Linked DNA regions of Caenorhabditis elegans. The protein of the gene in region 1 purifies or fractionates together with the protein of each later gene. This does not show direct contact. Each region holds a gene or a part of one and is shown on either strand. Other genes may lie near its edges. The genes, in order: pho-14 and ugt-44.

What was found.
Region 2: the proteins of pho-14 (region 1) and ugt-44 fractionate together in Caenorhabditis elegans (co-fractionation; one large-scale study listed by BioGRID). This does not show direct contact.

The regions. Positions count from the first base shown.
Region 1 is NC_003280.10:1,097,348-1,102,864, reverse strand, and holds pho-14 (Histidine acid phosphatase), read left to right. Parts: upstream 1-2,045; 5' UTR 2,046-2,052; coding exon 2,053-2,127; intron 2,128-2,183; coding exon 2,184-2,378; intron 2,379-2,713; coding exon 2,714-2,818; intron 2,819-2,860; coding exon 2,861-2,970; intron 2,971-3,027; coding exon 3,028-3,268; intron 3,269-3,420; coding exon 3,421-3,559; intron 3,560-3,609; coding exon 3,610-3,728; intron 3,729-4,002; coding exon 4,003-4,137; intron 4,138-4,187; coding exon 4,188-4,280; intron 4,281-4,788; coding exon 4,789-4,899; 3' UTR 4,900-4,938; downstream 4,939-5,517. Other genes in the region: T13B5.9 (Leishmanolysin-like peptidase), read left to right, coding at 1-200, 252-343, 959-1,124, 1,173-1,259, 1,352-1,420; snf-3 (Sodium- and chloride-dependent betaine transporter), read right to left, coding at 5,314-5,421.
Region 2 is NC_003282.8:10,467,976-10,472,601, forward strand, and holds ugt-44 (glucuronosyltransferase), read left to right. Parts: upstream 1-1,765; 5' UTR 1,766-1,832; coding exon 1,833-2,003; intron 2,004-2,089; coding exon 2,090-2,315; intron 2,316-2,368; coding exon 2,369-2,948; intron 2,949-3,148; coding exon 3,149-3,800; 3' UTR 3,801-3,924; downstream 3,925-4,626.

The DNA.
Region 1 (5,517 bases):
AGTCCAAGCTGACTGAGAAAAAATCCGAAAAATATATTTGGCATGGTGCCAACAATCAGAAAATCCCAAGTATTCGGCATTTTTTGGATTTTGATGAGCTTTCGTTGAAAGCTGCAAAAATTCATTTTAACTGTCAGAATATGGCTGGAGTCCAGGCGGATGGGGAGCTGAAAAATCACCTGAATGAGTACATTTTTGGGGTAAGGATTTTTATGAAATTTTCCAAGAACCAGCAGAAAAATGAAGTTTAGAACGAGCTTATGACTACACATTTGGAGCCACATGGAAATGTGTTCAGTTGGATTTCTGTCGGAATTATTGAGAGGACATTTAATGGTGAAAAGTGAGTGAATCTCAAGATTTGATGTAAAAATTCAGAATGCTCATGAAATTTTGAGTAGAAACCATTTTTTTGGAGAAAAATAAATTTTGGAGTTTTGGCTCGACTGGTAAGAGGTGTGACTTGTGATCAATAGGTCCGGGGTTCGACCCCTCGTAAGGGTCAACATTTTTTGTTTTACTTTTTAGTGTTAGGAATTGTTTTTTTTTGTTTTCGAACCGACGTAACAAGTAAGAAAAATTAACATTTTGATGATCCTCGAAAAAAAAATTTCAGTGAAATTGAACATTTGAGTTTTCTGATCCTAAACTGAATTCTAGCTACCTTTAAACGTAAAAATTTGAAATCCCCGTCAAATTCTGACCAGAAAGCAGTTTTTTTTTAGGATTTTTGAAAACTGGAGTTTTGGCTCAACTGGTAAGAGGGTTGACTTGTGGGCAATAGGTCCGGGGTTCGACCCCCGTAAGGGTCAACATTTTTTGTTTTCTTTGCTAAGTACTAAACAGTGATTGTTGTTCATTGAAATTAGTGAAAATTGAGAAAGTTGAAAATTTAAAAAAAAATTTGTTTTAAAAAAATTTGTTTTTTTCAGCTTTTTTTTGCTGAAATTTTTTTTAGGCAATGGTACCACATCAACGGTACTTTCATCTCCACTGAAGCCAATCAATATTCTTACGGAAAAAAATTCGGCTGTGAATTCCTCGAAAACTCCTGCGAAGACTTTCTGAAAATCGCTGAAAAACACAAGATCGGCTTGAAATTGGCCCCTTTCTGTCGGAAATCTGTAATTTTCATCCTATCTTTTGATTGAAAGTAGTACAAATAATTTCAGCTATGCTACAAACTGCCCGGAAATGCACAAATTTTCAAATTCACTGATAAAAACTGCGAAAATCGACGAGTCATCGGTGATAATCAGGTGGGTGGGCGGGAATTTGGGTAGAAGACACAATTTTTATCAGTGATTTTTTGAAATTTTAAGAAAAATTCCGTAAACATAAATATTTTCAGAAATGGTGTCCCATGGCGAAGAACCTCCCGTTAAACTATGAAATTTCGCCGTGTTTGCCTGTTGGATAACTTTTTTTTCCTAATAAATATTATACAATGGATTTCGTTCATTTATATTAAACTGAAAATAAAAATTTATTCTCAAAAATGTTTTTTTTTCCGGTTTTTTTTCAAAAGATAAATAAAAACTTGACTTTTTGGCGTGCTTAACAGTAATTCTATAAAAATTAGAAGGAAAAATTCGAAATCCCCACAAAATTCTGATTCCGGGGTACATCAAAATTGAAAAATTGAATTTTTGGCTCAACTGGTAGGAGGTGCATCTATGACGCACAGGTCCGGGGCTCGAACCCCGGTAGGGACAAAATTTTTTATTTTGTTTTATCAGTACTGAAAATTATTTTTTGAGATAGTATAAGTAAAGAAAATTTTGAGAAATATTGAGAAAAAATCACATTTTTTTCCAGATTTAAAAAAAAAGTTTTCAATCAATTTTTCCTACAAAAATTCATCACAAGCGTCTTCCTGAATCCATTTCTCTCTGGGTATCCCCTACTGACCTCACTCTCGCCCACTTTGTGTAATATTGAAAAAGCCGGTGCTCCGTTCTTCATTTCTTTCAATTTTTCAATCATTTTCCAGATTTTTAAATCAGATTTTTTTGACTTTTTGCTTCAAGTTAAATTCTTTTCAGCCGAAGTATGAGGATAATCTTGTTAATTTTTTTCTTAATTAGAGCTACTTTAACCCTGGAATATCTAGGACACGCGGACCCGGTAAGACTTTTTTGTTGGATTTTGAGGCCTAAAACTTTTGAAATCTAAATTTTTAGGAAGTTGTCCAAGCTGAGCAGGACATTCCAATACACAGACCTCGAGAGTATAAGAAGAGAAGACTGGAGGACGGGGATGAGCTTCTGCTCTCTCAAGTGGTCTGGCGGCACGGAGACCGAGCCCCAACCGGCACCTACCCGACGGATCCACATAAGGAAGAGGCTTGGCCAAATGGATGGGGAGAACTGACACAGGTAGGAATTTTCAGAAAATTTAATTGCAATTTTTGGGTTCCTCGTAAAATTTCCCTTTGGTAGTCATTTTTCCAGATTTTTTAAAGTTGCAGCTGTGGCTCAGCTGGTAAGAGGGATGGCTGAGAGCAGTAGGTCATGGGTTCGATTTCCCGTTCTGGTTAATAATTTTTGTTTGACCTAGTTACGGTATATATCACATAATACTGCCTGAAAAGCATGTTAGAATCAAATTTTAAAAATTAGTTTTGGCTCAACTGGTAGCAGAGATGGTTGGGAGAAATAGGCCAGGGGTTCGACCCCCAGCACGGTCAAAAAATTTTTAAATATTTTTTCAGCTCGGAATGCGCCAACAATACGCCCTGGGACGACTTTTATACAAGAAATATGTGAATTCGACGGGTCCCAGCAAACTTTTGAGCTCCTCTTACAACTCCAAAGAGGTTTGGCTGAAATTTTAGCTGATTTTGTATCTGAAATCGCAGGTCTACATCCGTTCTACTGACGTAAATCGCACGTTGGTTTCAGCTCTAGCAAATTTGGCTGGAATGTTTGAAAATGGAAATCGAGGAGCTGATTATCCGGACTCCAAGAGGTATTGGAAAAAATTCAAAAAAAAAAAATTTCGAAAAAAAATTCAAAAATATTCCAGATGGCCCACCAACTGGACCCCGATCCCAATTCACACTTTGGCTGAAAAAGATGATCCGGTTGGAAATGTGTTTGCTCCGTGTGCTCGGGCTGAGGAGCTCACTAGACAAATCTACGCAGGCTCCGGGTTCCAGAAGTTTGTCGCTGAAAATCAAGAGTTTTTGGATTTTGTCTCCGAGAAATCCGGGAAAAAAGTGATCATGCCCGAGATTTATATGGTCAACGATGTGCATTTTATTGAGGTTTGGGAGTTTTTTTTAATTAAAATTTTTGAAATCTACATGAAATTTCCGAAGTTTTAAGCCCCATATCGGCTAGGATAGCTTAATTTTGAAATTTTCAGTGGTGCGACGCGGTTGCGTCGCGGTTCCTTGTTTTAACTTCCAATTTTCAGAAGCTCTACAACATGTCCCAACCTGAATGGATCACTGATGACGTGGAAATCAAGCTCAGAAATTTGTCGCAAGTGTCCACGAGATTCCTCTTTGGAATTGGAGACCCCTACATCCCGGAGCTCATCAGACTGAGAGGAGGTACAGTTTCAAGCCATTTTTTGTCTGAAAATTTATAAAATATGTTGTAGGCCCTCTTTTGCGTGCGATGATGGACAAAATGAATCAAAAATTGAGCTGCTTGGCGAAAAATAATGAGGGAGAAGATTGCAGCTGGATTGGAAAACTTAAGTATCATGCTTATAGTGCTGTAAGTGTGGAACTCGAAAAATTCGGAAGAAAATATAAAAACCAATCGAAAAATCGATATTTGACAAAGAACAAAAATTGAAAAAAATTTTTGGTCTTGGGTGGGGACGAACTTTGGTGTTGTGATTGGAAAGCAAACCTGTTACCGGTTGAGCCAAAAAGCTTAATTATAATTAGGCTTTTGGCTCAACTGGTAACAGGGATGCCTTCCAATCACAACACCAAAGTTCGACCCCACCCGGAGCCAAATAATTTTTTCCCATTTTTTTTTGCAGCACGACACAACTGTCTACGCCTTCCTGACCACTTTTGGTGACGAGGAGCGAGTTATCGAAGGCGGTATGCCGCACTACACTGCCTCTGTTGCAGTGGAACTTTGGAATTTGAAAAATGGAGGACCAAGTGTCAGGGTACTGTAGTTTGACCTACTAAACAAAAAATTGGTTAAAAAGTGCTTCAGGTTCTGTTCCACAGCGCTTTCCATCACAACTACCACGTCATCACCCATCTGGCAAAGGGTTGTCCCCATAATTCAGAGTTCTGCCCGTTGAAAGTGAGTTTTTAGTGTGTTTTTGTAAAAAAAAAATCAGAATTCTACCAAAAATTTGGCTTTTGGTTAATTTCGCTCATTCCCCATCAAGTTGATTATTCCGTGGACCGCGACGCGACCGCGACGCACCGCGAAAACTCAAATTTGAAGTAACTAAACCAATATGGGTGTCAAAACTTTACAAAGTTCAATTTCTACTATTTCCCGACAATTTATATCTTGCATGACCGCGACGCGACCGCACCGCGCAGTGAAAAATCAAACTTGTCCTAACTATGTCAAGATGGGGGTCAAAATTCATCAAATTTCAAAAGAAACCCAGTTCTGTTAATACAATTTAATTTTCCTCATTCCGCGTCCATTTAGTTCTCAGATGACCGCGACGCGACCGCAACGCACGCTGAAAACTCGAACTTGGCGTAACCGGGTGAATATGGGTGTTAAAATTCCGGAACTTTGATGCCGATCTCGAGTTTTTCTATGAAAACATTAAAAACCGAATATTTTTCAGACTTTCGAGCAGCGCAGTCTTAAATTCCTACCAGTCAACCTGCAAAAGGAGTGTGCTCCGAAGAAGTCGGCGGAGAAAAATCGGACTTTGTGGAAGATCAGAGATAATTGATAAAGAAGCATAATTTGGTGAAATAAAGTATTTTTGAAAATTTCGAGAAAGATTATTCCAGATTTTCAGATTAAGAGTTTATTGATTGATTTTGAAGTTAAAAAATTATAACACTAAAATTCGTTGAGTGGAAATTGTGTAACAAAGTGAATTTCAATTGATAATCGGTTTTTTTGTTGAAAAATACGGGGGTCAGGGGGGTAACCAGCTGGAGAAGTAATAGAAAAAGCTCATATTGGAATGGAAAAATGAACGGGAAGAGGAGAAGATAAAGCTTGTCTGAAAATGGACAAAATTCAGGGAAAATATGAAGAAATAAACAGCAAAAGATCATTGAAGAATCTCAGTATTGCGGGGGGGTCGAAATGAAAAAAAATTCGAAAAAAATCAAAAAAAAAATCTGAAAATTTCAGTTTATTGAGAAGAGGATTCGATGAATTTCAGCTCCTCGGCGTTGTTCACCAGGTTCTTTTTGGCTGGGGATTCGAAGGAACCATCCAAGTTGAGCCCCTTGCGAACGCGCTGAAAAATATTCGTTTTGTCAAGTTTTTCCGAAAAAAATTGATCTACTAAAGTAACTTTGCAAAAAATTGAAATCAAGATAACATAAGCTTTCAG
Region 2 (4,626 bases), on another chromosome or scaffold:
ACGGAAGTTTTATCTAAAAAAAGTCGAGTTGTATGATTTTCTTGCAGTAAAAGGGCAAACAAAATGTACTGTAGTTTTCAAATTGCAAGTTCATTTCGAGACAAAAATCGACGAAAACTTGTTTTTGAAACTACTTGCAAAATAGAACTACCTGCAAGCGACGCCTGGCTCTTTCGTCCTTGAACCTACCTTTTCATGAAGCTGTCTCACTTTTGTTCGACGAGTATTCGATGTTTAATTTTTTTCAGCAATAGAAGGAAGTAAAATATACGGTGCAATAATATCATAAAAACATTCGTTTCGTTTACTTCTTCTTTCTTCTTCTTTCTTTCTTCTTTCTTACTTTCTTCTTCTTTACTTCTTCTTCTTTCTACTTTACTTTTTTCGATCGTTTACAAACCAAAAATGACACATATTTTGCAAAATCATGAACAACCGGTAAATATTCGATTTTGCATTTTTTGAACAGTTTTTAAAACAACTGTTGTTGAATTCTGACTTAAAGTGTCCGATGAAAATTTTAAGAATAAAAAGAAAATGAAAACACATCTACTTTTGGCTGGTACTCCGCGACGACCACATGTCCAATTATTCATATCTCAAAGATTTAGCGCATTCCTTCCTTACGTCCTTTTTTAATTAACTTTTAACTGATAAAATGAAAATTATTAAAATGTTTTACTGATTGCTTCCTTCATGTGGTTGTAAACAAAAATGTTTAAAATGTTCACGGATGTTTCTCGCCCACTTCTCTCGCCTACCAGAAGTAGGACATAATGGTTTTTTGGGGAACGTAAACCAAAGGAGCAAGTAATGAAAAGTGAATGAGTTTTAGACATAAAATGACCTCGCGTCACTTTTTCGCCTAATCGTAATTTGTGCTCATCGGAGGAGACCACAATACGAAAATGGACACTAGCGTAGGCGATGACGAAGATTGACATAATTTTATGGAACACAAAATGATAATAGTGCAGATGATTTTTTTTGAAAAAAAGTTGCATTTTAATCAGGGAAAATGAGAAATGAAATGTCAAGAATTATTTCAACTCTTCTTCTTAATGGGAAAATTAACATTTTCCGGGAGGAATTTTCTGAATATACATGTATACATAGTTTAGGTTAGAGCTTTGGAAGTTTGTCACTTTCCGCTAATGTAATTGTGTAAAAAGAAAGAATACATTTTCTAGAAAGAGCATAAAAAATTACCGTAATATGATTTATGGTTTTTGAGAATTTTTTTATTTTAGAAATGAACCAATCTAATTTTCGATAATGCTCCTTTTTCAAAATAAAAAATCATTGACGCAATCAGTTCTAATGGAACTTTCAAGGTACAGTACAGTGGTACAATAGATAAAAATCATAAATGGTTCGAGTTAGCTCACGTGAAATATTTGTGCAATTACAAATAAAAAGTACTCATGAAACTAAAAATCCGGGTTAAGTTTTTGCGTACAGCGAACCTCCAAATCAACTGCACTTTCTATTTCCCTTCCGGACAGAACCGGAATAACGAAATATGCACCTTCCTGATAAAAACTAATCTACATTCCCCATGACCGTCTAGTCTGGCTTCTCAACATTCTAGGCTCCAGGCTTCAAGGCTCCAGACCTCTTACCATATACCTAATGTAAGCTCCTCCCAAACCGGAGGGGTGTTCCGAAAAATACCCCGAAATCAATAGATATTTTATCAATGACGTTATCTGCGGTGACGTGCATCTCCTGAATCATCGAAGCTTCAGAGGCGTCCATATAAATTCACGTTGTCCGAACTGATAACCCAGCAGCACACACACAGCTAACATTCTGCTAACTAAACATACATAATGAGCACATTTTGGTATGCTCTGCTACTCATCATTGTCTACTATTCACAGACTATCAATGGTATTGAACGACCCAAAAAAGTATTGGTTTTTATGCCAATTAGTGGACATTCTCATCTTAAATTCATGGGAACAATTGCTAATATATTGCAAGATGAAGGATATAATGTGGTGAGTTGGGTTACTGTACTTTTTAAGGAATATTACAACATAAGAAATTCTTGTATGTACAATTTCTTAAATTTTCTTTTTTGTAGACCCTTCTGTTGCCGATTCTTGACGAAGGACTTCGGGATACCACTCCACTTGTTAGAAAAATAAAAAATCGAATTCTCGTCGAACAAAGTGAGGAACTCATTGAAGCAAATGCCCAGTTCAGAGCTGGAGGAGGCCGCGAAAATACGTGGGTTATGAACTCGGGAATCATTGGATTTTTGAAACTCGGAACCAAGGTAGCCAACATTTGCAAAGCTTCCTGTAAAAGTGAGTTTTATTTTTTAATATTCCTAAATGTAAATAAAACATGTTATTTTTAGATGTATTCCAAAATGAGGATCTCATCAACTACCTTCGCGATCAACGTTTTGATGTAGCTATCTCAGAGCCTCTGTACACTTGTGGATTTGCTCTTTTTGATCATCTTGGAATTGAAACAACAATCTCCACCGATTCCCATCTTGGTCTAGAAGTTTCAAAAATTGCACACGGAGCATCTATTTCTACTAGCTACCTGCCTGCTGTATTTTCAAGTGGATCTGAAAGAATGACATTAATCGGAAGAGCCAAAAATTATGTAGAATCTTACTTCAATTATTACTTTAACAGTAAAATCTACGAGAACGAATTGGCAGGAATTGAAGGAATCTACAAGAATGGAAAAGGATGGAGAGAATTGTCAAGAAAGAATGCATATATGTTTGTCAACAGTAATCCACAAATGGATATTCCAAGTCCCCGCACATCAAAGTTCATTGAAATTGGAGGAATCTCATCTGGGCCAGTCAAACAAGAACGTCTTCCTGAAGAGTACGATAGAGTTTTGTCACTTCGCAAAAAAAATGTTCTCATTTCATTTGGTACTAATGCAAAGTCAATGTTTATGTCAGATGACATGAAGTAAGTTTTTTTCATTCAAGAATTTTATCATCCCACTTTTAATTTAGAGACGAAACGGTAATTTTTGATAAGGTTTGAAATTGTAAGACAAAGACATGACTCCTATTAACTATTTTGGAAAGACGTAAAATCGTAAAATCATGATGTCAATAATGTTGAAATAGTTTTCAACTCCCTTCTAAATTTTCTATTTATTTCAGAGAATCACTCATCAAAACCTTCGAGAGTATGCCTGACACCACTTTTATCTGGAAATACGAGAACACAACTGTCGATATTGTGAAACAGTATAATAAACGAATCAATAATGTGATGCTTACTGATTGGATGCCACAAACTGCACTTCTAGCCGACCCAAGATTGACTCTTTTTGTTACTCATGGTGGATTGGGAAGTACAAATGAAGTTGCATTCAGTGGAAAACCATCGATAATGGTTCCAGTTTTTGGTGATCAAACGAGAAACGCAAGAATGTTGGAGAGACATGAAGTTGCATTGGTTCTCACGAAATACGATCTCACTAACTTTAAAAAAGTCAGAGGAACTATCAGAAAAATGCTGAACGATAAGAGCTATTCCATGAAAGCTGAGAAATTGGCGCAAATGTTGAGAAATCAGCCAGAGTCACCAAAGGAGATATTTATCAAATATTTCAACTTTGTTGCTAGATTTGGAAAACCACATGGACTTGATTCATATGCAGCTGAAATGAGCTTCATCGAGTTCTACTATATCGATTTTATGGCAATCCTTTCAATTTTCTCGGTTGCTTTGTACATGATCGTTTCGAAGGTTCTAAGAGCATCCCATAACTTGACTAATTTGGTTTCGATCAAGTTTAAGTTTGATTAATTTGTTCTAAAATTATGTGTGATCATTCAATCGTATACTACGTTTTTTGTAGTTTTTTGTAGTTTTTTGTTGTATTTTATATGGGTATTTGACACTGTCATAATAATAAACTAATTATAATTTATCGCATTTTAGTAGTTTCGCATTTGCATCCTTTACAGGAAAAAAAATAAATGCGAAGTTTTGGCATTTAAATTTTACATATTGTTATCAGCTATCAAGACAAATTGATTTATTTCTCAATTTTGTTTTTTTAATGCTTTGTAATTCAAAGGATGAAGCTTCCAGTGGACACTTTTAAAAGTATACGCACTGTTTTGCAAACTTTTTAATTTTTAGTTATTTCGATATTTTAATCTAAAATCTAAACTTCTTGCCTATTTAGCAGCTTCAACAACTTCTTATTCAAGTTTTGTTTAATCCCTGTTCAAACATCAAGTGTTGTATAAAATTATATGTGTGATCAAACTGAGACCACATTTTACACAAGCCTTTTTCAAAGTTGCTTAGATCTGTTGGCTCAACAAACAAAGGATTCCACCAATTCACTGTTGCCATCTGGAACCGCCTAACAAAGCTCATTCCAGAAAAAACTTAATTGTTCTGTGTTTGCTACCCGGTTAAATTCTTCCACCTTTACGTTCTCATTCCCCCAATCTGATCCCACAAACTATTAATGGTGTACAGGATCGTTTTATCATCCACCAATTCTACCCCATGATTTTGTTGTATACGTTTTCTTTCCCCTTATTTTTTGCTTTTATTTTTTAAATTTAACTCAATCTTTAAACAGAAAAAAAGAGATAATCGACAAAATGCTGAATTT